Diceros bicornis minor: one gene and its partners. Each later gene encodes a partner of the first gene's protein in a complex. Links are inferred from orthologs where the notes say so. Each region holds a gene or a part of one and is shown in the gene's direction. Other genes may lie near its edges. The genes, in order: MED23, MED7, MED13L and MED24.

Evidence for each region.
Region 2: MED23 (region 1) and MED7 share a complex: the UniProt entries of both Homo sapiens proteins name them as parts of the mediator complex. The link is inferred for Diceros bicornis minor from reciprocal best matches to the Homo sapiens genes MED23 and MED7.
Region 3: MED23 (region 1) and MED13L share a complex: the UniProt entries of both Homo sapiens proteins name them as parts of the mediator complex. The link is inferred for Diceros bicornis minor from reciprocal best matches to the Homo sapiens genes MED23 and MED13L.
Region 4: the proteins of MED23 (region 1) and MED24 are in contact, whole or in part, in a cryo-EM structure (PDB 7EMF), measured with the Homo sapiens proteins. The link is inferred for Diceros bicornis minor from reciprocal best matches to the Homo sapiens genes MED23 and MED24. Residues at the interface, in NP_004821.2 of Homo sapiens: Asn150, Thr151, Val152, Ser153, Ser154, Glu193, Gly194, Leu196, Pro197, Trp199, Leu201, Gly202, Asn203, Ser206, Asp207, Asp210, Arg213, Tyr258, Asp259, Lys260, Phe263, Ser1133, Arg1139, Ser1176, Glu1180, Glu1182, Trp1183, Val1184, Tyr1186, Arg1189; in NP_055630.2 of Homo sapiens: Lys238, Thr239, Leu280, Leu283, Lys287, Val291, Glu295, Cys336, Glu339, Phe340, Lys343, Leu344, Thr345, Pro346, Leu347, Asp349, Lys350, Gln353, Lys384, Glu720, Lys721, Trp723, Thr756, Arg757, Lys758, Glu759, His760, Met802, Asp803, Pro804.

Annotation. Positions count from the first base shown.
Region 1 is NC_080762.1:6,424,805-6,432,149, forward strand, and holds the start of MED23 (mediator of RNA polymerase II transcription subunit 23), read left to right. Parts: upstream 1-4,336; 5' UTR 4,337-4,429; coding exon 4,430-4,477; intron 4,478-4,810; coding exon 4,811-4,842; intron 4,843-5,001; coding exon 5,002-5,089; intron 5,090-7,345. UniProt on the Homo sapiens protein: Required for transcriptional activation subsequent to the assembly of the pre-initiation complex. Component of the Mediator complex, a coactivator involved in the regulated transcription of nearly all RNA polymerase II-dependent genes.
Region 2 is NC_080740.1:73,135,441-73,143,296, reverse strand, and holds the start of MED7 (mediator of RNA polymerase II transcription subunit 7), read left to right. Parts: upstream 1-4,852; 5' UTR 4,853-4,933; intron 4,934-4,996; exon of another isoform or gene 4,997-5,113; intron 5,114-7,856. UniProt on the Homo sapiens protein: Component of the Mediator complex, a coactivator involved in the regulated transcription of nearly all RNA polymerase II-dependent genes.
Region 3 is NC_080774.1:13,709,114-13,716,464, reverse strand, and holds the start of MED13L (mediator of RNA polymerase II transcription subunit 13-like), read left to right. Parts: upstream 1-4,331; 5' UTR 4,332-4,412; coding exon 4,413-4,484; intron 4,485-7,351. UniProt on the Homo sapiens protein: Component of the Mediator complex, a coactivator involved in the regulated transcription of nearly all RNA polymerase II-dependent genes.
Region 4 is NC_080757.1:39,631,976-39,639,356, reverse strand, and holds the start of MED24 (mediator of RNA polymerase II transcription subunit 24), read left to right. Parts: upstream 1-4,364; 5' UTR 4,365-4,405; intron 4,406-4,609; exon of another isoform or gene 4,610-4,796; 5' UTR 4,797-4,877; coding exon 4,878-5,007; intron 5,008-5,096; coding exon 5,097-5,179; intron 5,180-7,381. UniProt on the Homo sapiens protein: Component of the Mediator complex, a coactivator involved in the regulated transcription of nearly all RNA polymerase II-dependent genes.

The DNA of each region.
Region 1 (7,345 bases):
TTCTTCCTGCTGAAGGCTGGGTCATTTTTGTGGAAAGCTAGGACAGTGATTGTTACTCATTCAAGCATATCTCCAACCAGTCCTTAACTTAAACGCTCTTTTCTCCTTCTAGTGAAAATTGTAGTTTGGTTTCACATTTTCTGTTGAGGAAATTATATAACATTTTACAGAAATTCCAAGCTAAAGATTTAGGAGACTAATTTAATGAAATGGACTGACTATTTGTTATGGCACACCGAATTAACAGAACCATCTCTTTCTTGTCACTGAGGATTGGTTGGGAAGAATCCACCTTTCCTATTCAAACGTTTGAAGGGAACTGCTAGCTTTATTTTTATTTCTTGCAAATGGGATTTCTTTATTCTTATCCTTATCTTATCTTTAGTAAATTTTTTTATTTTGAAATAATTACAAACTATTAGAAAAGTTGGAGGTACCAACACAAAGAACAATTCCTTTCCTGAACGATTTTAGAGGACGTTGCTGACCTGGTCTCCCATCTTCTCCAAGCACTTCAGTGTGTACATATCCTCTAACTAAGGGCATTTTCCTACATAACCATAAAAATCAGACAACTAACATTGATACATTTCTACCGTCTAATCCTCAGATCCCCTTCAGGTTTTGTCTGTTGTCCTTTAGAGTGAAAGGATTCCATGCAAAATTATGTTTTGCATTCAGTTGTCATAGAACAATTCCTTCATCCTGGAAGTTTTTCAGTTATTCCTTGACCTTCTTGACTTCGACACTTTTGAATATCACAGAACAGTTCGACACTTTTGAATATCACAGAACAGTTTTGTAGAATGTCCCTCAATGTGGTTTTGTCTTCTATCTCCCTATGATTAGATTTAGGTTATAAAACATTGGCAGGAGAATAACTGTAGTGATGCCATGTCCTTCTCACACATTCTAGCAGATGCATGATTTCAATTTGTCCCATCCCTTATGATGTACACTTTGATCTCTTGATTAAAGTGGTGGTTTCCGGGGGGCTGGTCCAGTGGCCTAGTGGTTAAGTTCACGTGCTCCACTTCGGCAGCCCAGGCTTCACGGGTTCGGATCCCAGGTGCGGACCTATGCACCACTCATCAAAGCCATGCTGTGGCCAGCATCCCACATATTAAATAGAGGACGGGCACAGATGATAGCTCAGGGCCAGTCTTCCTTAGCAAAAAGGTAAAGATTGGCAACAGATGTTAGCGCAGGGCTAATCTTCCTTACCAAAAAAAAAAGTGGTGCCTTCTGGCTTCTCCACTGTGAAGTTACTCTTACAATAATACTCATTATTATGAATAAGTATTGTATGTGAAATTACATTGAAAATATATAAATACACCATTTCTCACCAAAATTTTAATTTATTCATCTATTCATTTACATCTTTGTGGACCCGTGGTTTCCTATTTTACTCAATGAGTTATAATCCATTATTATCATTATTCACTTTGATGCTCATATTGTTCCTTATTTGGCCAGTGGGAACGCATTCAAGCTCCAAAAAATCATTCTTTAAAAGCTTTCTTGCTTTCTGGTAAAACAAGATGCTTCATGCTTCTCTTGTACATTACCTGGCCCGGCTCTGTGATCAAGCATTACTCCAAATGACCTGGCTCCTTTAAGTAGAGACTAGCAGTTAGATCTGAGCTCCAGGTGTGATCACTGGAGTGTAGCTGCTCCCACACTCTCTTCATCACCAGAACTAGGGAATATATGTATGAGTGTGTGTGGCACATGTGTTTATGTATGTGTGTGTGCACATTACACCTATCATCTCTACTTATTTCTAAAACTATCTGTCTATTGAAATCCATGCGTTCATGTCAAAATTCCTGATTCCAACCGAGCACCACAAGGTTCATTCTACTTTCCCATTTACGTATCTCCCTTCTCTCACAGGGTGAAATCTGACTCTCATTGAACTTACTATTTTTGCTGATTTGATAAACTTCCCCGTACGAAGCCAGCCTCCCAACCTTGCCACCACCCCCTCCCATGCTTGGATGCCCACCTCATCCCACTCAGGCACCTACAGTCTCTATCGGGCTGTCCTCCCATAGAAGGCCTCTTCACTCTTGCCACCATCCCAGGGGGCCTGGAGGACAGAGCATCGAGCCAAAGAGGATGATTGAATCATCCTGCCAGGTTTCAGACTTGGTTGGAACCTGTGACCCCTTTAATCTTCCCAATTTCTCCCTTTTGGAATGAGAATGTCTGTCATAGGCCTGTCCTATCATTGTACTTTGGTAGCAGATAACTTATCTGGTGTTAGCAGTTCACAGCTGGAGAGGAACTTTGCCTCAGAATGACTCATATCTCAAGTCTCATCTATACCTAATTTAGAAGATATTTAGATAAGATTTGGGACTTAGAGTTCATGCTGGAATGGGTTAAGATTTGGGGCTTTTGTGATGGGGTAAATATATTTTGCATGGTAGAAGGACACGAATTTTGGGGGCCAGAGGGGGGAGTTTTGGGGCCAAATTTTATGCCCCCAAAATCCATATGTTGAAGATGTAACTATATTTGAGGATAGGGTCTTTAAAGAGTTAATTAAGTTAAAATCAGATCCTTATGGTAGGCCCTAATCCTATATGACTGGTATCCTTATAAGAAGAAGAAATTAGCCATGGACATGCACACAGGGAAGACCACGTGAAGACACAGGGAGAAGATGAGCATCTGCAAGCCAAGGAGAAAGGTCTCAAAAGAAACCAACCAATTGATATATCTATCAATTATAAATATATATAGTTGATATATTTATCAAAATAAATAATGACAATAATGGATTATGACTCCTTGACTAAAACAGGAAACCTTGATCTCAGACTTCTAACTTCCAGAACTATGAGAAAATAAGTATCTGTTGTTTAAGCCACCAGACTGGGTACTTTGTTATGGCAGCCCTAGCAAATTAATACCCTACACCTAACCCATGAAGCTATTCTCTAGCAGGAAATTTGAATTCTTACATCTCAGTTTTTAGAAGCTATTATGTGGTAACAGTGGCATACAGTGGTTGCATGTGGATATGTTAGGGAACTGAGTTTCTGCCAGGTCAAAGACTCATCTATCAAAGCCGTGACTGGGACTCTGTGCTTCCAAATCAGCGTGTTCTCACACGCCAGCTCATCTTAACGTTGGCCAGAGCTCATATAATAAAAAGGTAAAATGGTCGGGAAAGAATTGTATTTTTGCCATAACCAAAAACAAATTGATTTTTATATCATGCTTACAGATGCTCCATTCATTGAATATAAACTGACCATCCATTTCTAGACCATTCTCCACCACCATTGCATGGAAATCTGCCAGAGAGCAAATGAACACTGTCTTAGAGGTGTATCTGAATAAAGATGATCCACAATAAGGTCATCTATTCAGCATACAAAACAGAGGGGACTTGGATTTTAATAATTCTGGCTCTGTGATCCTTCTAGCTTGGATATGCTGCAAAATCAATAACTGCAATACTGTTCATTAAATCCCTAACACCCGTGTCTAGCACTGAGCAAACGGTGGGTAAATCTTCCATAAAGGAAGAACTCTACTATTCATGCACAAAGGTGTTATACGAGGATAAAGAAGAGACACCTAACTCAGCTGGAAGGAGGGCAAACGTCCAGGAACATGTCAAAGTGATGCTAGAAAGAATAAAGAGGTCGAGGACACACTGCTCAGAGCACTGAGGCATCTGCTCTGACCACACCAGTGGACCAGACTTCTTCTTTGCCACCTTTCTCCACCAAAGAGGCTACAGGTATTCAGGAATTGATACATATTACTATTTTTAGATGATTATAACTGAAAACGGTAGGTATTATTTTTCGATTATTCTAATCAAAAATCAATCGTGATGCGTTCATTCACTTTTTTCAACGTTCGTGGAAAGCCTGCAAGACACTGAGGTTACCATGGCTGAGAAGGCCTGGTCCTTGCCATCAGGAAGAGTCTGGTCTCACCTCCCGCTCCAGCCCGCTGGCGGAGCTCCAGGAGGTCAGCGGTCCGCAGACTTCCGGTTGACCCGGGTTGCACCAGCAGCATTTCCCCAAGGCTGCAAATATGCAAAAGCAGTAGTCCCGAGCACGAAGCAACTCCCGCTCCGGCCCGCAGGTGGCAGCCTGCCCCCGACGATGCCCCGGGGAGCTTTAGGCTCGAGGCTCCACGTGGGGGCGCTCTGGTCGGGCTCCCGGGCCTCCTTTCCCCACGGTCGGAACCCTCTGGCTGGGTCACTAGTTTCCGCGGGTTCCGTCATCGGCGCGCACCAGGCGCTTCCGGGCTTCCACGCAGGCTGCCGTAGTTTGCCCCGCCCGGGAAGGGACGCTCGGCCGAGCGCCTGAGGAGCGCGGGGACCAGGGCGAGTGTCCGCCCCTCGGCCCCTGTTCCCGGTCAGGCCGCGCGCTGGCGTCCGAGGACGGCGGGGACGATGGTCCAGATGGAGACGCAGCTGCAGAGCATTTTTGAGGAGGTGGTGGTGAGTGGACGGCCGGGGGCCAGGGCGATGGCGGGGCCGTGGATGGGGGTGGACGGAGGGGACGGGCACCCTCTCCCCCCTCCCCTTTGCCCTGACACCGTGTGTGCGTGTGCAGGGGGTAGCGGTTCTCACCCGGCTGTCAAATTCAGGGTCCTCTCTCAAACCCACAGCGCCCTGGGTGGCAGGCCGGGCGGGTATCGTCGGTGTCTGCGTGTGGATGATGGAGGAGACCTGCCCCCTGTGATGTTGTCATGTTTTGCTCGGGGAGGCCTCTCCCTTTTTTCTTTCTTTTTTTTTTTTTAGTTCACATTGTCTACTTTTGTTTTTTCACAGAAAACGGAAATTATAGAAGAGGCTTTCCCTGGGTGAGTATAGGCATGGCAGATGTTTGTGTTTTTACGGGAGCCTATGTTTGTAAGATTTTACTTGGGCTTATTTTGGAGATTTATAAGATCCACTATTCTGGTTATGTTGAATTACCTTTTTTAAAAATAGTGGCAAATAATGTGATTTTTGCTTTTTAGCATGTTTATGGACACCCCTGAGGATGAAAAAACAAAACTACTTAGCTGTTTGGGGGCCTTCAGACAGTTTTGGGGTGGTCTTTCTCAGGTGAGCACTGCGTTTTTAATACATTCAGCTGATGATTTTTGACTCCTTTTTTTACATTTGCTTTGATGCTGCTGTTAAGATAGTTCTGGAGAGGGAGAAATAAAATTGTCATCATCTTTTATTTTGTCTATTCTGGTTTCCATTTATTTCCATTTGTATTGTTCCAGTGGAGAACCTGTATTGACAAGTGAAGTTGATGACAAAACAGTATAAGATGTTTTTAAAAATCTTCCCTCTGTTAGATTATATAAAATCATTTCCATCCTATTCCAATTTATTTGGTGCACTTGAAAACAGCTGTGTTAGGGATTGTAAAAGGATAAAAATTTCATTCAATTACTCAACAAAGGAACTGGCACAACATTGCTGCAAAGATACTATAACAAAGATACCATGGGGAAGACACAAAGATGCCACAATAAGGATACAAAGATTCTATAATAAGGATACATTATTACATCTTTATTATAATAAGACATTATAATATAATTATAATTTTAAGACATTATAGTAGAAATGAGGAAAGAGCAGCAAAACTTAGTAGCAAAGAACAGTCACCAGAAAATGTATCCATAAAAAAGACAAAATGTGTGATGTTTAAAGAGCTCATGTTTTGGGTCCGGCCCCCTGGCTTAGTGGTTAAGTGCTTGCGCTCCGCTAGTGGCCGCCGGGATTCGGATCCCGGGTGCGCACTGATGTACCACTTGTCCGGCCATGCTGAGGCGGCGTCCCACATACAGCAACTAGGAGGATGTACGACTGTGACATACAGCTATCTTCTGGGGCTTTGGAGAGAAAAAGGGAAAAAAAGGAGGAGGATTGGCAATAGATGTTAGCTCAGGGCTGGTCTTCCTCACAAAAAAAACAAATAAATAAAGAGCTCATGTTCTGGTAGTGCATTATCTTCTCAGGGTGCATTATAGGAAGGAAAATGAGGACCATTTGCAGCAGAGCCACTGGCATGGATCACAGACATGGGTCACGTAGTGGCAATATGTTCATTTTTTTTTATTTGTTTTAATTATTTTCTAATAGGTAATATGTTCATATGGTTCAAAATGGAAAAGGTACCGAAAGGGGGACCCAGTGAATAGTCTGCCTTCCATTTCCCGTAGCTTAATCACCTGGTATTTTTTTCCTGTCTGCAGCCAGGATCCCCAGTTTGTTTTTTTTAAAGTATTTTATGCATACAGAATCATTTTTATAGAATGTTCCAATACTGTGTACACTGTTCATTAGCACCTTGCTTTTTTCCTCTTAATGTTAAATTCTGAAAGTAATTCTACATCAATCCATTAAGAGTTACTTCTGCCTTCCTTCCTCTCTTGCTTTCTTATGGCAGGATAATATTCTATTATATGGCTGCACCTTCCTTTGTTTAACCAGACCTCTACTGAGTGACATTAGTTTGCTTCTTACCTTTTCCTCTTTAAACAATACTACAATAATATTATACACAGGACATAATAAATTCATGGAAGTAGTATTGCTGGGTCAGAGGGTATGTCTATTTGTAATTTTTATAGAAATTGCCTAATAGCTTTTCATAAGGGTCATACTAATTTGTACTCCCCAAGCAATGTGTAAGATTGTCTATTCTCTATAGTCTCACAGTAGAGTGTTAATGAACTTTTGGATCATGTTTCTAAAATGTGAGAAATTTTATCTTAGTATGGTTTTATGTTTTCATTTCTCTGAGTGATGTTGAACATTTTTCCAACATATTTTAATTTTTTAATAATTCATTAAACATTTTATGGGTTAAGGTATGGCCCTTGTCTTCCAGAAGTTTATATTCCCATAGATGAGCCAGGAGGAAGATAGACATTTGTAAATCAGCATTATACATTCAACAATAAAAGTGTGTGTGAAGGACAGTAGAAGTGCAGAGGAGCAGGACATACAGGATATCCTTGAGGGTACCCTGGAAGACAGACTTAGACGTGGTCACTACAGATTGGTATCAGATTTTAGTTATGCAAGTCTAGAAATTTGATGTGTCATTGGGTCCATAATTGGGCTCTTAGGGATTAGATTCGCACTAAATTGTCATGAGGCTAAGGTACTAACTCATAATGAATTCTTTCCCCCAGTGACAGGAATATTTATGTCTACCGTTAAGGGCACTGCTTACAATGCCTTACACAATCGTTATTAAAGTTTTCTTTTGACCATGAATATGTTAATAAAATATTACTCTTTTGGGGGGTTCCATGTAATAAAAATGATGGGTGTTTAATCAATATAATTGTAAGA
Region 2 (7,856 bases), on another chromosome or scaffold:
GCCTGGGCTGATTAACACGCAGAGATACAATGTAATTGACTAATAAGAGTTCAGAGATTATTATTTATGAACCTGTCTACCAGTGACAGAGGTAATAAGACCAACAAATCAAAATCAGGGTAAGTGGTGCTGGGACAATTGGACTCCTACATGCAAAACAAACAAAAAAATCCCCAAGTAATCTCAACTCATCTCACACCACATATAAAAATTAATGCAAAAAGGATGTTAGACTTCAATGTAAAACTTAAAATTATAAAGCTTCTAGAAGAGAACACAGGGGAAAAATCTTTGTGATCTTGGGTTAAGCAAAGAATTCTTGGATAGGAAACAAAAAGTATGAACCATAAAAGAAAACAATTGATAAATAGGACTTCATCCAAACTAAAAACCTCTGCTCTTTGAAAGACACTGTTAAGAAAATGAAAAGATTAGCCACAGATTGGGAGAAAATATTTACAAAACACATATCTGATAAGGGACTTATATCCAGTGTGGTGTGTGTGTACGTGCTCTTACAACTCAATAGTAAGAAAACAAATAAGCCAATCAAAAAATGGGCAAAAAATTTGAAGGGACAGTTCACCAAAGAAAAGATACATATGGCAAATAAGTACACAAAAGATACTCAACACTAGGGAAATGTAAATTAAAACCACTACATAGCTATTAGAATTGCAAAAAGTAAAAATAAAAAGGAAAATACCAATTGCAATTGCAACTCTCATAGTTCACTGGTAGAAATGAAAAATGATACAGCCTCTTTAGAAAACTGCTTGACATTTTCTTATATAGTTAAACATATAACTATTAGAACGCCCAGAAATTCCATTTCTACGTAGTTACTCAAAAGAAATGAAAACATATGTCCATACAAAGACATATATGAATATTTATAGGACTGAAAATAACCCAAATGTCCATCAACTGGTGAATGAATAAATGAATTACGGTACATCTGTATAATGGCATACTCCTCACCTATAAAAAAGGAACAAACTATTGATACATGCAACAACACTGATGGACCTCAGAAGTTTTATGCTAAGTGAAAGAAGCCAGAGACAAAAGTCTATATACTGCATTATTCCATTTATATGACATTCTGGAAAAGGCAAAACCATATGAACAGAAATCAGATCAGTGGTTACTGGGGCTGGGGGCGACGGACAGTGATTGAGTACAAGAGGGGAACAAAAGAAATTGCTTGGGGTTATGGAAATATTCTATATCCTAATTCTGGTGGTAGTGGTTATATGACAGTATATATTCATCAAAACTCATCGAACTCTACACCTAAAGTTAATTTTACTGGATGTAAATTACACCTCAATAAACCTAACCTTAAAAAACCAACAGAGTGGAGAAAATGTGTGAGTATTTCTGCTTGCCACTTAGGATCAAACGATAAATAATGATGATGTTTATAATGTGCCAAGCTCCTAAAACAGGCAAGATGCCAGTTACCATACACCCCTGCCAGTTTCTGCTCCTCACCTCCACCCACTCTCCCTTTGCTCATTCGTTAGAGAGCACACAGACTCCCTTCCTGTCTCAGGCTCTTTGCACTTGCCGTCTCCCAGATGTCTGCACAGTTGACTTCTTCTCATCACTTATGTTTTAGCTCCAAAGTCACCTTCTGGGAGAGGCTACCCTGATCATCTTCTATAAAGTAGCTACCCCCCAACTCACATAGCTACCACATTATTTTGTATTATTTTTTCCCCTATAGCCCTTATCATTATCTGAAATTCTTATTTGTTGGCACGTTGTTGTCTGTGTCTCTCCATTAGAAGGCAAAGCTTCTGTCTGTCTTTTTTACCTTCTAGAACAGTGCTTGCCACAGTAGATGCACAATAAAGATTTGTTGAATGGCTGTATTCCTTGTTAAGCTACAGAAAGCATCTTTAAGGAATAAACTTTCCATTCAGATTCTGGAAAATGCCACCTAAACAAATGTTTATTGTATGCCATATTCTCACTAGCCCCTCTCATGATATACATTTCATATCATTATTCATGTGTAGTTTACTGTAAAGAACACTAGACTGAGAGTCAAATGTTCTAATTCTAGCCTTGATCCTGCCACTAACGGTAAGACCCCGCACCTTTGGGTCAAGTAATTCCATTTCTAGAAATTTACCTCAAGGAAAAAAATTGGACACATGCACAAACATATGCACTAGGATGCTCATCCAGAGTATTAACAATAGCAAAAATTGGGAAGAAGATAATTTTACACAATGGGGCTTTGGCTAAATAGATTGTGGTCTATCCATCAATGTCATACTGTGAATTCATTTGAAAATGATGATTATATTCATTTTGTTACTTATTCAATAACTATTCCTTGAGTACTTGCCAATTTCAGGCACTGTTCTAGGTGCTGAGAATGCAGCAGCAAATGAAACAAAGGCCCCACACTCACAAACCTTGTATTTTGATGAGGAAGAAAGACAATAAAAATAAATAAATAAATCTACTACATAATATGATATCAGATGATGATAAGTTCAATGAAAGAAGGATAATGCATAGTAAGGGGACTGGGGGCATCCCCCAAGAGAATGGTTGGGGGCATGCTATTTTATAGTGACCAGGGAAGACTTCTCTGAGAAAGTCACATTTGACCAGAGACCTGAATAAAGTGAGGAAGTGAGGCATATGAATATCTGTGGAAAGAGAGTTCCAGGCAAATGCAGTGGCTCTGAGGTAGGAGTATGGTTGGAAAGCCTACAGCTGGAGAAGAGTGAGCACGGGAAAAAATCATAGGAAATGTTATTGGAGAAGTAGCCAAGGACTCGATTTTGTAGGGCCTTATATACGCCATGGTGAGACATTAGATTTTATCGTAAATGTGACAGAAAACCTTGGAGAATTTTGAATAAAGGAGTGGTCAGATCTGTCTTATATTTTAAGAGTGTGATAAACAGGCGAAGTGAGGACAGAAGAGAAGCAAAGAAACCAGCTAGGAGGCTATTTCAGAGGTCCAGGGGAGATAATGGTGGCATGGACTAGGACCATAGCAGCAGAGATGGTGAAAATTAGTCATATTTGGGACTTTTACTTATTTCTAAATAGAACTGATACAAAAGGCTGGGATAGTATATTTGAAGGAGCATGGAAGAAAGAATGGTAAAAGATGAATCTTTAGACTTGAGCCTTTGCAATTGAGTGAAGTGCACTTGCATGAGTAAAGATGTACAATACTGTTGGATAAAGGGTCTGAGTGCAAAGCAGAGGGTGTTGCCAGGGCCTGGAATCACCTGGATATTATCACCTGGATGATATCCCACTAATAAGTGAGAACTGCGTCGTGGGGCAATTCAAATAATCAAATGTGCCAAAAGCTGCTGAGCATGCAGTAAAAAGTGGACTAAGAATGACCTCTGGAGGTCACAGCTGTAGGTCACAGTGGTCTCAGCGGCGAGGAGAAAAGCCTGATTGGAGTATGCTCAAAAGTAAATAGATTTCTCCAACAAATAAATTGATGTAGGGGGAAAATTGAGATGAGTGAAGGAACCTATAGATTAAAAGGTAATTAAAAGACACATCAGTCAGTCACAAATGAGTGTACTTCATTTGGATCCTGAGACAATTGGTATCCAAATACTGACTTGATTTTGATGGTATTAAATTGTTGGCACCACTCACGTAAACAGTAATCTTTACTATACATATTAAAGATTTTGGTCTTATTATCTTCAAATTAAACCAGGGTATAAGGTGTTGCTCCAGTCTCTGATGCATATCCAGTAAAACAAAAGATTTCCAGGAACTAAGACCGAATCCCTCCAACCATGCGGAGACCAACCGCCTATAAACTGGCCTGTAGTCTTGGTTCTGTTGGTTCTTTTTAGTCAGCTATCTTCCCCCTCGCTAGCAAGCTATAATAAAACTCTTTCTCTCCTACCACCTTTCCTCTCTACTACTGTCATGCCTTGCGTTGAGCAGACGACCCCCCTTGGGCAGTAACATAATTATTAATTTATTTTTAAATGAGACAATAGTTCTGTGGTTATGTGAAAAAAAGAAAGTCCTTATCTTTTAGAGATGCATGCTGAAATGAAATAATGTCTATACGTAGATAATTGTTCAAGTTGGGTGATGAGTACACTGTTCTCTCTACTTTTGTAAATATTTGGAACTCTCCATAATAAGTTTTTAAAAAACTAAGTCAAAGAATTTTATTTTAAAGAGGTTAGGTTGAGAACTTTTATCAAAATAACAACCTTATTTTCTGTGTGCAACATGCTCTTGTAAGATTCCCACGAATTTAGAAATTTGTGACACTTATGAAAGTAACGTCCAAAGGAAACCTTTAAGTTTGATTTTGTTTTTAAATTTGTTAATTTATTGCCTGGAAATATAATAGACATGGCTGAATTCCTAAGTGAAAATAAAAGTGAATGGACGGTGAGGAAATGGAAATTGAGACTATTACTGATCTCCAATCATGTTCACAAATATTTCCAGACTGAAAAAATATATAAACAGCATATAGAGTCCATCTCATTTCTTTAAATGTTATTTTTGACAGTGGGGTTAGAGTCGATATAATTTTTTAAAATATCCGCTTACCTGTATTTTCTAACTTTTATGTAAGGCATATGGCTGCCTTGTTTCATTTCAAGCGTTAAAAAAAGAAAGAACGGAGATATCACCTGCTCCTTTTACTGATAGAAACCCTCCCCAGCTGCAAACCCAACCACCGACCCCACCGCAGAATTGCTGGGGTGGGCCGTAGGAAAGAGATACGCGCAGGCGCAATAGCGAGCCATGGGTCTGAGGCGGGACTAGAGCTTCGGTTAAAGGAAAGCTCTTTCAGCCAATCAAGGGGCAGTGTCGGTGGCTTCTTCCTGGAGGAGGAGACCGGAAGTCGGATCTCGGCTGCGGTGGCGAAAGCGGCTGCTAGACTATACCCAGCACTGAGGTGAGTGGGCGGCGACGGGTTGGGGCTCTGTTTTGCGTGCGTTTCTTCTTCCGGACCCCGCGGCTTCCTCAGGGCGGGCTGGGAGTGGGGGGAGTGCTCGCTTTCTTTCTTCTCTTTGTCTGTCGGAGAGCGCGGCTTTCCCGCCGCTCGAGGAGCCCCGGGTGGACAGCCTGGCGGAAGGTGCCTTCAGGGCGGCGGGCTCCGGCTTCCTCCCTGTGGGGAGGCCGGGCCAGACTGGAGGGTGGGAGACCTGGGTTCTAGTCCTGCGCCGCTGGTTTGCTAGGCTGTGTGGCCTTGGCGAGTCATTCGGCCTCTCCGGCGTTTGTAAAATGAGAATAACCCTCCTTGCCCTTCTTCTCCAGGGAGCGATCGTGAAATCCGCTGAATTAATGGGGGGCGGGAGAGGAGGTAGATCTCAAGCCTAACGTCAGATTCATCTGCAGAGGTTTAAAAACTACATTCCAGAGGCCTCATTCACAGTAGACAAAATGAATCAAATGTCTGGGGATGGGACCCCAGGATACCTTTCTTTTTTGGTTAAACCCCCCAGAATGGAACAAACACTAGAAGGTGGATCTTGAGTCTGATAACCGGCTTTGATGGTTTTACTGAACACCTCCATCGCCTTTGAAAAATTCAATCAAAACAAGTGATAGAAAAATAAACATAATTTCTGTAGTATGTCAGGTTCCTTTTGTGCAGTTAAGAGGCTTCATAGTCTGCTGGTTTAAGGGAGCTTGTACTGTGCAGCTCAAAGGACCAAGGATAAAAATTCCCGCTGTGCCACTTACTGGCGTTTTGATCCCTGGTGCAAGCACTTCCCCTCATTGAGACTTGGCATCCTCATCTTTAAAATGAAATTGATGATACCACTTAACTCATAGACTTGTTATGAAGAGTAAGTAAGAGAGGATATAAAACAATGGTACCTGTCACGTAGTTGACCTTTGGAAAATGGCAACTTAATTAGAGGAATGCACGTGGTGCTGGGAAGCACAAAACGACTCCCAACCTAAAAAGGCTTGAGTGGGGTGAAACCTGGGCTGTCTAAAATTTGTTTTGAAGTACCAGGTCAATGCTAATTCTCTGATTTTGGTAATTATGTGCTTATAAGAGAACATTGTTTTGGGGATACGCACTGAAGTATTTGAGGGTAAAGAGATGAGAGACCAGTAAGGCAAATGAGGGGAAAATGTTAATATTTGGAGAATCTGGGTGAAGAATATGGAAGTTTCTTTGTACTGTTGATACAACTTTTCTGTAAGTCTGAATTTATGTTAAAAAGTTTTAAAAAGTTGATTATGACTGTTTGCAACTATCATAAGTGTGTTGTAAGTAAATGAAACAGTACACAGTGTTTATAACCTCCCACCCCACCCCATGTACTTGCACCCCTTTTACCTTAATGGCTGTGTTGTATTATGTAGATGTATTTTGTCCAGCCCTCATATTGATGAAATCATGAGTTATTTCTAACGTTTCCTGCTCTTTTTTCAAACAGGGCTGCATTAAACATCCTTATACACATTTTTGTGTACTTGTACCAATGTTTCTATAGGATAAATTTTTCGGGATAGAATTATTGGTTCAAAGAATATCAGCATTTAAAATTTTGATACTGCCAAATTAAATTCCAAATATATATTTGTTTCCTTTCCTCTCAGTTGTATATGAGACTTCCTCAGATTCTCTTAGGTGGTACTGATCTACCACCTAAGAGTATTGTGTGGTGGTGGTGATGGTGGCTTCTGTGAGAGCTGAAGGGAATGGATGCTCTCCACCAGAGGCGACTTCCCTGCAGGGCCAGAATAGCTAAGAGCCTGCTTCTGAGATTGAGATGACCACTCTGAAGAAACTGAGAGGAAGGAGAATGTGACCTCTGCGGGAATCTGGGGCTTGCCACATGGAAGGTGTTCTAGTATTTGTTGAATGATGGAATATTTGAAGTCTTGATAGTCTGATAAATGAAAAGTATTCTTTTTTTTTTTTTTTTTTTGTGAGGAAGATCAGCCCTGAGCTAACATCCATGCCAATCCTCCTCTTTTTGCTGAGGAAGACTGGTCCTGGGGTAACATCTCTGCCAATCTTCCTCCACTTTATATGGGATGCTGCCACAGCATGGGTTGACAAGCAGTGCCTCGGTGCATGTCCAGGATTGGAACCCAGGCCACCAGCAGTGGAGCACGTGCACTTAACCGCTACGCCACGGGGCCGGCCCAAAAGTATTCTTTTTAAAATTTGCTTTTAAAAGTGTATTAGTCTGGGGGCCGGCCCGGTGGCGTAGTGGTTAAGTTCACACACTCCTCTTCTGCAGCCCAGGGTTCACAGATTTGGATCCCGGGTGCGGACCTATGCACTGCTTATCAAGCTATGGTGTGGCGGCATCCTACATATAAAGTAGAGGAAGATGGGCATGGATGTTAGCCCAGGGCCAATCTTCCTCAGCAAAAAGAGGAGGTGGCAACAGATGTTAGTTAGCTCAGGATTAATCTTCCTCACCAATAAAGAAAAAGGTATTAGTCTGAATATTTTCTAGCTTTTATTCAGCATTTGTATTTTCCTCGTCATCTTTTGTCTATTTTTTTAATGTAGATTTTTTTTTAAAAAAACTCATTCAGTGGACCTTTATTGAGGATCTAGCACCTTCTAGGCATTGTTTGAGGTGCTGGATTAGAGTTGGGAACAAGATAGGCACTTCCTGGAGTCATAGTCCTTTTCTTCTAGTGGAGGTGGAGTCAGGCAATGCATTTTTAAAAAATCAAAATAAAATTTTTAGTATTTGCCCTTTGTTAGCTTGCAAGCATTTTTCTCCCAGGAAAATGGATTATCTTTTAATTCTGCTTATGATATTTTCCTGTATGGAACTTTTAAATTTATTTTTGGTAGTTAGATCTGTTGGTCTTTTGTAGTAGCCTTGTAGTTA
Region 3 (7,351 bases), on another chromosome or scaffold:
TAAAGATTCACAACAATTCGTTGACTTTGGTTATCCTAGTGGGGGAGAGAGAACAGGACTCCCTTTTCTTGGTATGCTCCTATATCATTTGATTTGCTCTAGCTAACATTTTGTTATTTATAATAAAATAAATCCAATAAAGCTTAGGTTAAAGGGAAAAAAGCTGCAAGTGATGTGACTGGGTGCCACTTTCCACTGTACGAGGATGGACTAGTGACTGTGATTGTTATAATTTTTTGATCACCGTCTATGGGGCCGGGCACTGTGCTAAGAACTTTCTCTGTGTTATCACCCTGGGAGGTCAATGCACAGGAAGAAATGGGGGTCACAGGGCTTAAATGACCTGCTCAAGGCTGCACAGCTCTACAGCTCTGTGCACGACAGAGCAGGGATTGGAACCCAGGTGTGTCTTACTCTGAAGCAACAGTCTTAACTCCTGCAAAATGCTCCCACCCTGCAGCTGTGGTGGTTTCCTGTGGTCTCTCGAATAGGTGGTTCCTCCTCTGGTCATATTTTTGCTTCCATTTTCTCTCTGCCATTACATTTGGTAACCATGAAAGGGAACTAACCTGTCATTCTCAGAATAAGACCTGAGACTTGTGCAGAGTGGAACGTCTATTTCCTGCCGGGGCAGCAGGCATTCTCACAAATGGAGAAACTAAGTCAGGAGGATGCTTCTGATGAGGTCCCCACATACGGAACTGTACTCAGAAGTCCCAGTGCCTGGTACCTTGCTGCTTCCTAGTAGTCAGTTGATGGTTTTTGTTTTCTTTTCTTTTCATCTTATCTCCTGAGGCTTTCCATCAACTCCCATTGCTTTCTCTATTGAGTAAGAACTCTGCAGATCTTTATCAGTCCTCTCAACTGTGCAGAATCAACCAAGTCTTCTTGCTAGAAATGACTTGAAGGATCACCCCGGCTGCCCTGTTCACACATGAGGAAACTGAGGCCCGGAGAGGTTGAGGGGCTTGTCTGAGCTAACAGGGCTGCTCAGTGGCACATCTGAGACTAGAACCCAGTTCCCCTGGGTTCTCCTTCTGTCCTCATGTTGCCAGGGCAATTGCACACTGCACTTTTGGCCTTTTCCCTTCCACTCTGGGGCCTTGGCTTTGACAGCCAAGGTAATCCCCTCAGATGAGGTTTTTTCTTTTGTCTTGTGTTGTTTATTTGCTTTTTAATTTCCTTTTATGGTGCCATTTGATTATTCTGTTTTCAATTTTATTTATTTATTGATTTGTGTTGTTTATAACACTGCATTGAGCAGGTAATATACATATTCAGAAAAAAGAAAGAAAGAAAACGCAAACAGTACAGTGAAAAGTACTCTCCTCACCCTCTTCCCACCCTGACTCCCATCCCTAGAGGCAACTGATATTACTAGAGTCTCGGGTAACCTTCCAGAGATACTCAATTAATAAGCTATTTTTGAGATTATTTTATATGAGACACATAGTGATAACTCATTATTTTTAATGGCTACACGGAATTAAATTACGTTGTTAACTACTCCCCAAATGATGGACATGTAGGTTGTTTCCAGTTTTTGCCCAGCAAATAGTACTATAATTCATGTCCTTGTGCTACAGGTCTTTATACATCTGCACAAGTATCTCTGTAGGATAAAATTCTAGAACTAGAATTGCTGGGTCAAAGGGTACATGCATTATAAATTTCGATGTCTCCAAATTGACACCGAAAGCTGTGGTGCTAATTTATATTCCCACTGACAGTATATCAGAGTTCTGCTTCCCTCCATATTTGCCTAAGCTTTTAAAATATTGCCAATACTTATTATGGTTTTAGTTTGTTTTTCTTATAATGAATGTCTTAGTCTGCTTGGGCTGCCATAACAAATTACCAGGGACTGGGTGGCTTAAATGACAGAAATTTATTTCTCACAATTCTGGAGGCTGGGAAGTCCAACATCAAGGTGCCCGTTTAGTTCCTGGTAAGAGCCCTCTTTGTGGTCATGACTTTGTACAGCAGAAAGACAGAGACACAGAGAGAGAGAGAGACAGAGAGAGGGGAGAGGAGGGGAGGGGAGGGGAGTGAGGAAGAGAAAGCATTCTCTCTCAAGTCTTGTCTTACAAGGGCACTAATCTCATCATGAGGGCTCCACCCTTGTGACCTAACCGTCTGCCAAAGGCTCCATCTCTGAATACCATCACACTAGGGATTAGGGGTTCCACGTATGAATTTGAGGCGGACACAAACATTCAGTCCATAGCAACGAGTGAGGTTGAGCATCTTTTTATATACTTAAAAGCCATGTCTTTCCTATTCTCTAAACTGTCCATATCCTTAGCTCATTTTTCTATTGGGTTGCTCTGGGAGACTTACTAACAAGTTAAACCTAAACTTACTGAAGAATGAGAATTTGGTGACCAGGTGTGTAGGATGAAGGCCCCTTGGGATATAATGGACCATCCCACCGACTGATTGCTCAGGCCCAAGTAACACCATGCATGTTGATAAAGCACTTTGTATATACATTCATTATAACATAGTGTCAGCGGGTTATAACCTAGTGTCAGCCTTGATAATAATATATGTAACACGCTGCTCATGGGTTTCACTTTAGCAGTTATTTGTGTAAGTTCTAAAGCTCAATTCACACGTCTAAGACTTCTCTCCTTTTATTACACTCCATCTTTCCCCTGTTTCTACTCTTCCTCTCTTTTAGTCCAATCCACCTGAAACAGCTGACTCTTCCAAGTTGGTGGCTTGTTGGCGAAGAAGTTGTTCTCTCCTTCCCACCTTTGCCGGAAGCAAAGCCTTGAGGGCTGGGAGACAGCCTCCTCTTACTGGCACACCTCTGGACTCCCAGGCCATATGCTCTCAGAAAATGTTGGTCATTGAATGAATGTAGCCAAGAGGGAGGGTCTGCTCCCAACACAGCCCTAGCACAGCGCCTGGCAGTTATAACATATTCCGGCACGTGGCAAGAGGTAAGGAAACACTGACGCAATGAGTGAATGAATGTCTGCACACAGTGCCTAGGAGTAAGGCCTCAAAAGGCTTTCCTGTATTCAGCGCATAGTGCCTGGTACACAGTAAGCGCTCACTAAGTGGCAGCCCCGAATATCCCTGGACGAGTCTTATAAAACCTAGCGCAAGAGCTTGGCTTGACTGTGCCTGGGTACGGGGGTTCGAATCCCGCCCCCTCCAGTTCCCAGCTGTGCGACCTCGGGCAAGTGACTTAATCTCTTTGTGCTTCAGTTTTCTCAGCCGCAGAACGCCGACGGCGGAGTGCGACCTCGACGCGACACTCCCGGGAGCCCCTGGACCTGCTGCCCGGCCCACTGCGAGCCCCCGCCACGCCAGCTGGCCTGGGCGGTCGGGGGCACTCGCGGGGGGCCCGAGCCCTCGGCCGTGGCCGCCACGGGCGTTCCCGGGGCTCGCGGTCGCGCCTCGTCGGGATCCGTGCACCCGAGGGGGCGGGGCGCGGCGCCCACGCGGGACAGCGCACGGCAGCCCCGGCCGGCCGGCCGGCCGCCGCCCGCACTTCTTTCTCTGCCTCTCCGCCTCCCTCCCTCTCCCGGCCCGAGAAGCCGGCCGCGCTCGGCTCAGCAGCGCCGCCCGCGAGCCGCCGCCGCCGCAGCCGCTCCCGGCCCCTCCCCCGCCCGCCCTCCGCCCCCCCGCGCGGCCGGCGCCCGTCACGTGACGCGGCGCCAGCCAATGGCGGGCCGAGCCGCGGTCGGCGGCCGCCATTGCTGTCAGAGCGAGCGAGCCCGGGGAGGGAGGAGAAGCGAGGCTGACTGGGGAGGAGGGGGGGGTGGGGGAGGAAGAGGAAGGAGGGGACGTCGCTCGGCTGCCGGGGTCGCCCGCTGGCTTCGTCCGCACCCCCCCCTTCGCGAGTTCGCGCTCCGCGGCGGCGGCGGCTCCGAGGCGGCGGCGGTGGCTCCGGGGCTCGCCTCCCCTCACGCGCCGGCGGGGGCAGAGGGGGAGTCGGTGGCTGGAGATAAACAAGGCGGCGGCGGCGGCGGCGGCGGAGGAACAGGGAAGGCGGAGGCGGCGGCCGGCCCGCAGCGCCAGCCCGGGAGGCAGCGGCGGCCCTGAGAGGCGGGGAGGGCGCCGGGCCGCGCGGACAGCGCCCCCCGCCGCCGCCGGAGCCGCGGCAGCCGCCGCCGCCGCCGCCGCCCGAGCAGGAAGGAGCCGCGCGGCCGCCGCGGACCCCCCCGCCGGCCCGGGCCCGCCGCCCCCGGCGCGGCGTCGCCGCGGCGCCTCCCGCCCGCCCGCCGGCCCTCGCGCCCTCCCCCGGCGGCGGCGGCGGCGGCGGCGGCGGCGGCGGCGGCGGCGGCGGCGGCCCGGCCGCCCGCGCTCCCCGGCGAGGCGCCGCCGCCCGGCCCGGCCTCGCCTCGGACGCCTCGCTCCGACATGCCCCGCTCTGGCGGCCGGGCTCGCGGAGGATCATGACTGCGGCAGCGAACTGGGTGGCGAACGGGGCGAGCCTGGAGGATTGTCACTCCAACCTCTTCTCGCTGGTGAGTAGCCGGGCGGCGGGGAGGGGGCCGGGCCGGGGGGGGGTCCCCGACCTCCGCCGCCGACCAACTTTCTCCTCCCGCCGCCGGGACGTGCCCCTCCCTCGCCTCTCCCCGCCGCTCGCCTCTCGCCGCGTCTCCCCCTTTTGGATCGTCGCTCCTCGCCTTGGCTCCCCTCCAGTGTTTATTTGGCTCTTTAAAAATCATTTGTGAGCGCGGCGCTCGGCGTGGAATTTGCATGTGGAAGTCTCAGAGCTGCGGATTCTGGGTCGCACTTCGAACGCCCACCCTCTGTTGCCATCACACCCCCTTCCTCTCCCCTCTTCCCCCCTTTTTTCCCCTAAATGTGGAAGGCTTTGCCTTGTGCTGCCCGTGCCTGCGATCGGCAGCCTTTTCCCCCCTTGTCGGGTCGACTGCCCGCTCGCCCGCCCGGCTTTTGAATTTTTTTAAAATTCCATAATGACACCTGCAATTTCGCCCGAAAACAGTTGATCGAATGCGATGGTGTCAGTAAAGGACTCTGGCACCCGGAGCTCCCGCGATTGTAAACACCGACAGCCGCCCGCCTCTCGGGGCTTACTACGCTGGAGAGCCGGAAAGCCATTGCACCGAGCCGACGGAAGGTGGAGAAAGCTTTTTCTTCTCTCTCTCTCCTCCTGTGTCTTTTAAAAACTGTTTTCTCTATCCTAACAACGAATCCACACACACAAAAAAGCAACAAGCTGGGCGGCTGGATAACATCGCTTTTATCTGCCTTCGCCTCTCTCGCGCGCTCTCGCTGGTAATTGACAACTTTTCCTTGGGATTTGAATCGCCTGCCTTAATCTTGAAGCAGTTAGGGTGTCAATTGTTCTCCTGGAAGCCTGGCACCCGACGACGGCGTCTAGATTCATGGAAATTAAAAATGTATAGGGCTCCAGCAACTCTTTCCTGGCGGTCGCAGTGACATTTGGTGGTAAATGCCATCTCTGCTTTTTATTGGGTCGTATTACCTAGCTCTGAAAACATTCATGTTGTTAAACCTGGCGTTTAGGCTAATAATTGCAGTACGTGGTCTTTAAATATGTGCTTTGTGCAGGAGTTACTGTATGTATAGCTATGTGCCCGGGAGACTACGAATTTGTTTAAATATTGAGCAAAGATTTGTAAACAGATGTAAGGCAATTATGTTTCAAGCGTAGAATATAATTGGAAAATTGGCTGAACGGTTTGTTTAATTTAGCCTTAAAAAAACCAACTTATTTTAAGTTGTGTACCTTTTTTGGGGGAACTGACTTTTGGAGCGCATGCATTTTGGAAATTGTTTTCTGTAACCTCTGCTGCAGATGGGAGCATTATTTCCTCTTAATCCTTGTTTACACTGGATAAATAATTTAGTGTTCAAATTGTAATTAGTTACATTTAATTATGGGTAGCATAGAGGCTTTTTTTCTTTGAGACTAGTGGAGACATACAAATTCTTGCCAACTTTTCAAATAAAAGTGTTATTTTATTCAATATGTTTCATTATGCAGATAAAAAAAATCAAAACATGCGATTTTTACCTACAGTGACCCGAGTGACATAGTATCCATGTTTTTGCTGTGGTAAGATCAGGTCAATTTTATTTTTCTTCCAACATTTTTATTCAGATATTTAATTTTAAAATTCAGTTACAAGTTGCTCTTCTTCCTCTCAGGACTGTGATTATTTTCCCTTGATCTTTTGGTATGTGGGAATAAAACTCATTTTGCATCCTCTTTTCTCCCCCTCATTCTGTCATTTAGTATCAGGTTCAGGGACTTCGTAGATTAGCAAACATATTGATTAAGGGATATTTTAAATGGTTTTTGTTTGGTGGCTGGTGACCACATTGACACTTTAACAGGTAATTAAAATAACCAAGTAGACCAATATTAGTGAGGAGAGATCCCCCAAATTACCATATATCATGCTGACTGGTAATGGCTTGGGTATGTGTGGCTAATTTATATACAGTAGATTTTGTAGACAAATGAAAGTATATTATATGTGTAGCCAGTCTTTAAGATACATCATTTCTTTTATCTTTTATTTTTTTTTTAAGCTTAAGTAAGGGTGATAATGTTATAGAGATAAGATGCTTGAGATTCTTTTGGAGAAACAATTTTGTGGGAGAGGATTCTGTGCTTTATGACCAACTAAAGATTAATGCTTTGGGTATTTTCTCTTAAACCTCTTTAAACCAGGAATTGATTTTTGAATATACTTTTTTTTTTTTTTTTAAACAGAATTACTCTTTAGGTAGCAACTTTGAAATGCAGAACTGCAGAAATGCATGCTTTGATTTTTTTTTTTTTTAAAGGACTAGAGAAAGTCTACATTCTCTTGTATGCAGAGGGTGGATAAGGTGCTATTTTTTTAAAATTACAAATCAGTTAAAAAGGTGCTGATATTGTAAATTTTTCTCATTCAAATTTGAGATTTTTTTGGAAAATTAGATATAGCAGCAAGAACATTAAAAATATGTTGCTTAAAGTACATTGTATAGTATAGTTAATTCCAAAGGAGATAAAATCATCACCTGTTTAAAATAAAGCATGTATTATAAGAACTCTGTGTGCTTAATAATAGCATATATGTGCTTTTTTGGCCTGCAGTATTTTTGAGCAGAGAAAAGTATTGTTTATATAGAATTTACCTAGATACTCATGTTAATGTAGATTGAAATATAAACTAGAGATGAAAGTTCTGTACCACATTAATGACCCACCCACTTTCTATTACCTTTAGGTGTTCGTTCTAGTTTAGCAAAAGTTGATTGTGCAATCAGCTGCCTTAAGATTTTTGTTAGTCTTTTACTTACTTTGCTTTCTGATTGTCTGCTGCATGGCATCAAATTTCCTCAATTC
Region 4 (7,381 bases), on another chromosome or scaffold:
TCGCAGCCCCTCTTTTCTTCTTTTTTAAAGATTTTATTTATTTATTTTCCCCCCCAAAGCCCCAGTAGATAGTTGTGTGTCATAGCTGCACATCCTTCTAGTTGCTGTATGTGGGACGTGGCCTCAGCATGGCCGGAGAAGCGGTGCGTCAGTGCGCGCCTGGGATCCGAACCCAGGCTGCCAGCAGCGGAACGCGCGCACTTAACCGCTAAGCCACGGGGCCAGCCCCCTCACTTCTTCTTTGCGCTGGGAATGTGGAGAGGGAAGGCATCCTTCAGGGTGTTAGAGAAGAAATACTCCAAGGACTGGTTCAAATTCTTTTTTTCACCATCCTGGCTGGTCTCTTTCTGGAGCTCTTCTGTGGGGGCAGTGGGAAGATAGAGACAGGGAACTTGGGGGGTCCAGGAGCTGTCCCTGAGGTGGGGCCACCATGTAGGTCTCTCCCCCATTCTCCTCTCCCCCAGATAGAGAGAAAGCAGGGATTGATGTGGGGACCGATGGGAGAAGGGAGCTGATTTGGAACCAGCTGTGTATGAGTGTGTGGGAACGACTCTTTCTTTCCCCATCCACCTGCTGCCAATTAACTCCCCATCCCATAGTGGGGAGACCCAGGCAAGCTTCCAAAGGAAAATGTTCCAGTTAGGGGAGGGGAATGACTCAGTTTCCCTGTGGAGAGAAGGGAAGCTGAAACCTTCTGTGCCTTGTATGCTTACCAAGTATTTCAGTGTTTCTGGGTATAGACTCTTGCCACTTTTCCTTATACAGTTGACCCTTGTTGTCCGCAGGTTTAGTACCCGCGGTTGGTTGAATCCAAGGATGGGAAACCCGAGGATAGAGAGCGCTGACTGTATTCATTGTACTACACCTTTTTTTTTTTTTGGTGAGGAAGATTAGCCCTGAGCTAACATCAGTGCCCATCTTCCTTTATTTTATGTGGGACACCTGCCACAGCATGGCTTGACGAGTGGTGCATAGGTCTGCACCCAGGATCTGGGCCTGCGAACCCCGGGCCGCTGAAATGGAGCACGTGAACTTAACCACTACGCCACCAGGCCAGCCCAATGTACTACACCATTTTATAGTGTAAGTGTAGTATCCATGGATTTTGGTATATGCGAGAGTTCCTGGAACCAATCTGCCATGGATACTTCTTTCTAGCCTAGATAATGAATGTCCCTGTCCCCTTGAGTACAAAAAACCCTGTTCCTCCCAGCCTCTTACCCCAACCCAAGTCCCCACTCTGGCCTAGCTCCTCTGCTGCTACTGCTCCAGTGTTGCCATGTCACTCTGGCTGGCTGGTTTCCACCTGTGCTTCTTCTCTAGCCAGACCCCTTCCCCAGCCAGATCAGCCAACAAGATGAAGAGGGTAGGGCTCAGGGTTAAGAGAGCAGAGGTGGGAGCTCAGCCGCTATCAGTGCTGAGGGAGAAGAAATGGACAGCAAAAGAAAGTGGAGTAAGTAAGAGGGGTTTTTGAGAGGGGCTGTATGGGCGGAGAGTTCCTTGTATAGCCAAAAGGGATGTCAGCATCTCTTCACTCACACAGTGGAGGATCATCATAGAGTCCCGTCTTTGTGGTCAGCAAGCCAGAGAGCTTGCGGGTCCTAGGAAGCTATTGTGTTGTGCAGGGAAGAGGTGGTGTACGGGAAAGGCTGTCTCTGATATTTGCAGACTAGATAGTCAGGACAAAGTAGAGAAATTGAAAATGGCCCTTGCCCAGAACTAAGAGAGTCCTTGTACTCCCTTAGGAGTCCAGTCCTTGGGGAAACCCTGCCAAGCCTAGAGAAAGGACTACTGGTGAGAGGTGGGGGGACAGGGAAGGCAGATGGCCTGACTACAAAAGCCACTTCCCTGTCACTGTAAAGTGGGGAAGAGGCATCCTCCCCCCCAGAGATCTACCACCCTTCCTGTCAGAGGGGGATGGTTTGAGCTCAGAATATCACTATCCTCAGGGCCCAAGTATTCCCCACTCTCATGTGGACTGGACCCAACACCTACTAACTCGGTTAGGAACAGTCACAAAGTTGACAGCCTCTCTCCAAGAGGGGCAGTCTGGGCTATGAGGGATGGGAAAGGAGCTGTAGGATCCAGGAATGACTCAAGGTAGGGGACCCTTGGCTTCAGGAGCAGGAAAAGAATGAGAGGAAGAGAGCCGGCAAGGTAGAGTGAGGGGCCTGGGAGAAGAAGGGAGCCCAGATTTGTGAGAGACTGCAGAGAAACAGGGTTGGTGGCGTCTCAAGTGTGTCTGTGTGGCTGGGGGAGTTTGGAGGTTAAATATGAGGAGTATGGGTTCTCCCTCCTTCCTGCTTTGGAAGCTTTGGCTACACATATTTGGCAGCTGTTTTATATAAACACTATTCACCACTGGTGTCACTTGGGCAGGCACAAAAGGGAGCAGAATGGAGGGGGGTATGGGTGGGTGTATGGGGAGGGAAAAAGGCCATAGGCAGTAATGACCTTAGAGGGATGTGACTTGGCCCTCCTCCAGCTGCAGTCTCCCCTTCAGAACAGGAGTCCTTTTCTCCCTGTTTAGGCTATGCTCCAGATACTCAGGATCCTGTTATTCTCTGCCCTAAGGGCCACAAGTTTGTTTCTAGAGCCTGAGTAGGCTGCTCTCCCGGATTCATCCTTCTGAGGACTGATTTTACCACTGAAAGGGTGGCCAAAGAATGGTCGTTGGGGAATATGGATGGATCTTGGACTCATGGGGGTATGGGATGGGAAGGCTCAAAATAGGGGTGGCAGGACATTGGGCGGATGACTCCATGATTATTCTTGTCCGTAGTTGTAAATGTTAGGGACGACTTGTCCACAGGACAGGGCAGGGATGAAGGCTGTGTATAGGGAGGCTCAGATGTTGGAGCCAGGGCCGGCCCTGTCCCTTAGCGGTTAAGTTCGCATGCTCCGCTGCTGGCGGCCCGGGCCTGGATCCCGGGCGCACACCGATGCGCCACTTCTCTGGCCATGCTGAGGCCGAGTCCCATGTACAGCAACTAGAAGGATGTGAAACTATGACATACAGCTATCTACTGGGGCTTTGGGGGGAAAAATAAATAAATAAAGTTAAAAAAAAAAAAAAGATGTTGGCGCCAGATGTGGGTAGCATTTGCTTTTGGGCTTCCCACTGTGGGGTGGGAAGTGGGGGAACAAGAGCTAATGCCTTAAACCCTGGACATAATTATCTACAATATGGTTCCAAAGGATAAGTGAGACATCACATTGTTTTTTTTTTTTAATTTTATTTATTTATTTATTCCCTCAAAGCCCCAGTAGACAGTTGTATGTCATAGCTGCACATCTTTCTAGTTGCAGTATGTGGGACACGGCCTCAGCACTGCCGGAGAAGCTGTGCGTCGGTGCGCGCCCGGATCCGAACCCGGGCCGCCAGCAGCGGAGCGCGCACACTTAACTGCTAAGCCACGGGGCCAGCCCAAGACATCACATTGTTTTTAAGAAACATTATTTTTAGGAATAGTTTTTGATTTACAGGAAAAAATTTGAAGATAGTAGAGGATCCCTACATACCCCACACCTAATTTCCCCTTTTTTAAACATCTTACATTAGTACGATACATTTGTTACAATTAATGAAACAATATTGATACATTATTATTAACTAATGTCCATGCTTTATTTATATTTCTTAGTTTTCACCTAATGTTCTTTTTCTGTTCCAGGATCCCATCCAGTGAACCGAGTTACATTTAGTCATCATGTCTCCTTAGGCCCTCTTGGCTATGACGGTTTTTCAGACTTTCCTTATTTTTGATAACCTTAACCTCAGTTTCCTCCTTACTTTCCTCCTTGCTTCTCCCTGTATTCAAGCAGTTGCAGGGCCAGGAGATTCTGGGAGGACTGCCAAATTTGGGGGTGAAGTAGTTATGTGTGTGCAACTGACCAAGCCTCAGTGTCGCTTCTGGAATACAGGTGTGGCAATGAGAACAACTCTGATAGGCGCAGGGGTTTAGGAGAGCAAGAAAAGGCCAGGAAAAAGAAAACGTATTGCTGAATCAACGCCACACACTAGCTGTGCCTACTAAGTAGCGGGTAACGAAAGGGTGTCGGAATATAATTTAAAGGCCGGGTCGACAGTGACGTCATTGGGCCACGTCTGATCGCGAACCGCTTTTCGAGAGCCCTCCCCGCTCAGCGGTCTGAGTCTCCGTGATGCTTCAGCCTCTCCCTGTCCTTCCCTAAAGGAGAGAAACAATGCGCGGTTACTAGCTTAGTCCCTTAGCTTCCTGGCTAGCCCAGTCCAGGAAACTACAATTCCCAGAAGGCATCGTGGCGTGACCGGTCTCTTGCTACATTCCTATTGGTTCATGTTTATTATTCCCAGCCAATAGAAAATTAGCCCTTTGATAAGTGCCAAAATGGCGATACCTAGGATCTAGGGCTTGATTGTCCGGTAGGCTTACATTTGGGCAAGTGGTGGATGAAAAAGAAATATGGAGTTGTAGTTTTAGGGTTAGGGAAGGTGGAGGAAATGGGGGTGGGGGGAGGGAATGTGCGTTCGAGGTGGTGCTGGCTGAGGGACGCAGCCGGAGCTAAGGGCGTAATTAGGAAACTGGATTTGGCTTAACCCCTTGTTGCCCTATTTACTCTTTGTATTAAGCCCGTTTGACACCCTCTTCTTAGTGCTTCAGTTTAAGGAAGGATGGTTCAGGAGGGAAGAACTTGACAGGATCCCTACCTTGCCCCCTTCCCCTTTTTTCCTTTCTAGTTCCTCTGCCTCCCTTAAATCTTCTTGTATCTTCTCCGTTGCATTTAACTCTGCCCTCCCCTGTTCTTTTCCTCAGAATCTCCTCTTCTCTTCTCCAGCTGGATTTCTCCCACCTCAAAGGTGACCGCCACCGGCCCCGCCTCCTCAGAGTGAAATCATGAAGGTGGTGAACCTGAAGCAAGCCATTTTGCAAGCCTGGAAGGAGCGATGGAGTGACTACCAGTGGGCAATCAACATGAAGAAATTCTTTCCCAAGGGAGCCACCTGGGACATTCTCAACTTAGCAGGTTCTCAAGTGAAATAGGAAGGAAGGATGGGAGGGCTAAACTCAGAAAAGTTGTAACCACTCAGTCTTGCTTTGTTATTCCGCTTGCAGAAGCACTACTGGAGCAGGCTATGATTGGACCTTCCCCCAATCCTCTCATCCTGTCCTACCTGAAGTATGCCATTAGTTCCCAGGTAAACTGCCCCACCTATTCCAGAGAGTGAGGGTTTGAAGGTAAAAGACTCGGAGTACAATTGTCAGCTCATACTTTTTAGGTGAATTTGTTTGAATACATCACTTCTCTGAGCCCTAGTTTTCTCGTAAAAATAATAATGCTTCATTGGGGGCTGGCCCAGTGGCGTAGTGGTTAAGTTCCTGGCTCTGCTTTTGTGGCCCAGGGTTCTCAGGTTCGGATCCTGGGCGTGCACCTTCACACCACTTATCAAGCCATACTGTGGCAGGTGTCCCACATATAAAATACAGGAAGATGGACACACATGTTAGCTGAGGGCCAATCTCCCTCAGCAAAAAGAGGAAGATAGGCAACGGATGTTAGCTCAGGGCTAATCTTCCTCACACACACACAAAATAAAAGATAACGCTTCGTTGGTTATGATGAATATTACATTAACTTATTCTCTCAAGAAGTATTCCTGAATTCTTGTATGTGCTAGACAGTGCCGCAGACTCCGGGGATATAGCTGTGAACAAGACCTGATCCCAGCGCAGAAGGAATTTGGTGGGTGATACAGATATATAAATAAGCAGTCGGTCGCAGGATGGGTTTATGATCTAGGTTAGGGCAGTAGTATGGGAGTATATGGGAGGGGTACGTGATCCAGTCTGAGGAATCAGGGAAGGCTTTCTAGAGGAAATGATGTTTAAACCAAGACCTGAATGGTAAGTAGGAGTTAGCTAGGCGCGTTGATGAGGCTGTACAAAGCAGGGAGGAGAGCATGTGAAGAGGCTGGGAGGCAAAAGTTGCATGATGATGAAAATAATTGAGTATGGCTGGAGCAGCAGTTTTGGTCTGAGGACCCTTTTATACTCTTAAAAATTGTTGATCCACTGGGCAAAACTGAAAAGGTCCCCGGTGACAATCCAACAAAGAAACAAAGAAAAGACTCCAAGAAAAAAATTATTGAGACTGCTTTGTTTATATGTTTTTCATCTATCCATATTTACCAGTGTAGGAATGAAAACAGAAATTTAAAAATATTTATGAATTTATTTAAAAGTAACAAAAAATAAAGCCATTACGTGTTAATATAAATAACATTTTAATGAAAACTGTATTTTCCAAAACAAAAAAATTAGTGAGGAAAGTGGCATTGTTTTATGTTTTTACAAATCTCTTTAATGTCTGGTTTAATAAAAGACAGCTGAATTCTCAAATCTTTTTTTTTTGTGTGTGTGAGGAAGATCAGCCCTGAGCTAACATCCATGCCAGTCCTCCTCTTTTTTTTTTTGCTGAGGAAGATTGGCCCTGGGCTAACATCCGTGCCCATCTTCCTCCACTTTATACGGGATGCCGCCACAGCATGGCCTGACAAGTGGTGCATCAGTGCCTGCCCGGGATCCGAACCTGCGAACCCCCCGGGCCGCCAGCAGTGGAGCGTGCGCACTTAACCACTACTCCGTGGGGCTGGCCCCTGAATTCTCAAATCTTGTGCATTCAATTGTTGCAATAGGCTATTTTGGTTGAAGTGTATGAAGAAAATCTGCCCTCACACATCAAATATTTAGTTTGGAAAGGGAGCAGTACTTTAATAAACTTTTCAGATAATTGCATATTCTTCTTTGATACACTAAAATTCAACAGGTGATGTGAAACCACATGAATCAACTTTTTATACTCCATTACATTAAAATCCATTAGTCTCTCTCTTGCACTTTGAATATATCTTTTACCCATGCATGATTTTATCATATCATGAATTGGTCATTTGGAAAATATCCGTTACTGAGTTACACAGATATTCCAGTTGACACGTTTAATTATATGATATCATCACATATCATAGAGCCTCTGGGACACTCCTTGTACAGTTGTGAGAGAATGAGAGTGAAAAAGGCAAATAACATCTTAGTCGTATTTATTTTTTGACCTCACAGACCCCAGGGGTTCCTGGACCATATTTTGAGAACTGCTGGGCTAGCACTTCAAGGAGGACACTGGTTTAGAGTGAGATAGAGATTAGGTCATAAAGGACCCGTGAGTGATGCTAAGGAGTTTGGACTTTATCCTAGGGTGACAAGTAATCATTTAAAGGATTTTAAGTGGAAGAATAGTATGATAGGAGATATATATATATTTAACATGCAATAAAATGCACAGATCTTAAGATTAATTCAGTGAGTTTTAGCAATTGTATATACCATGTCACTGATATCCA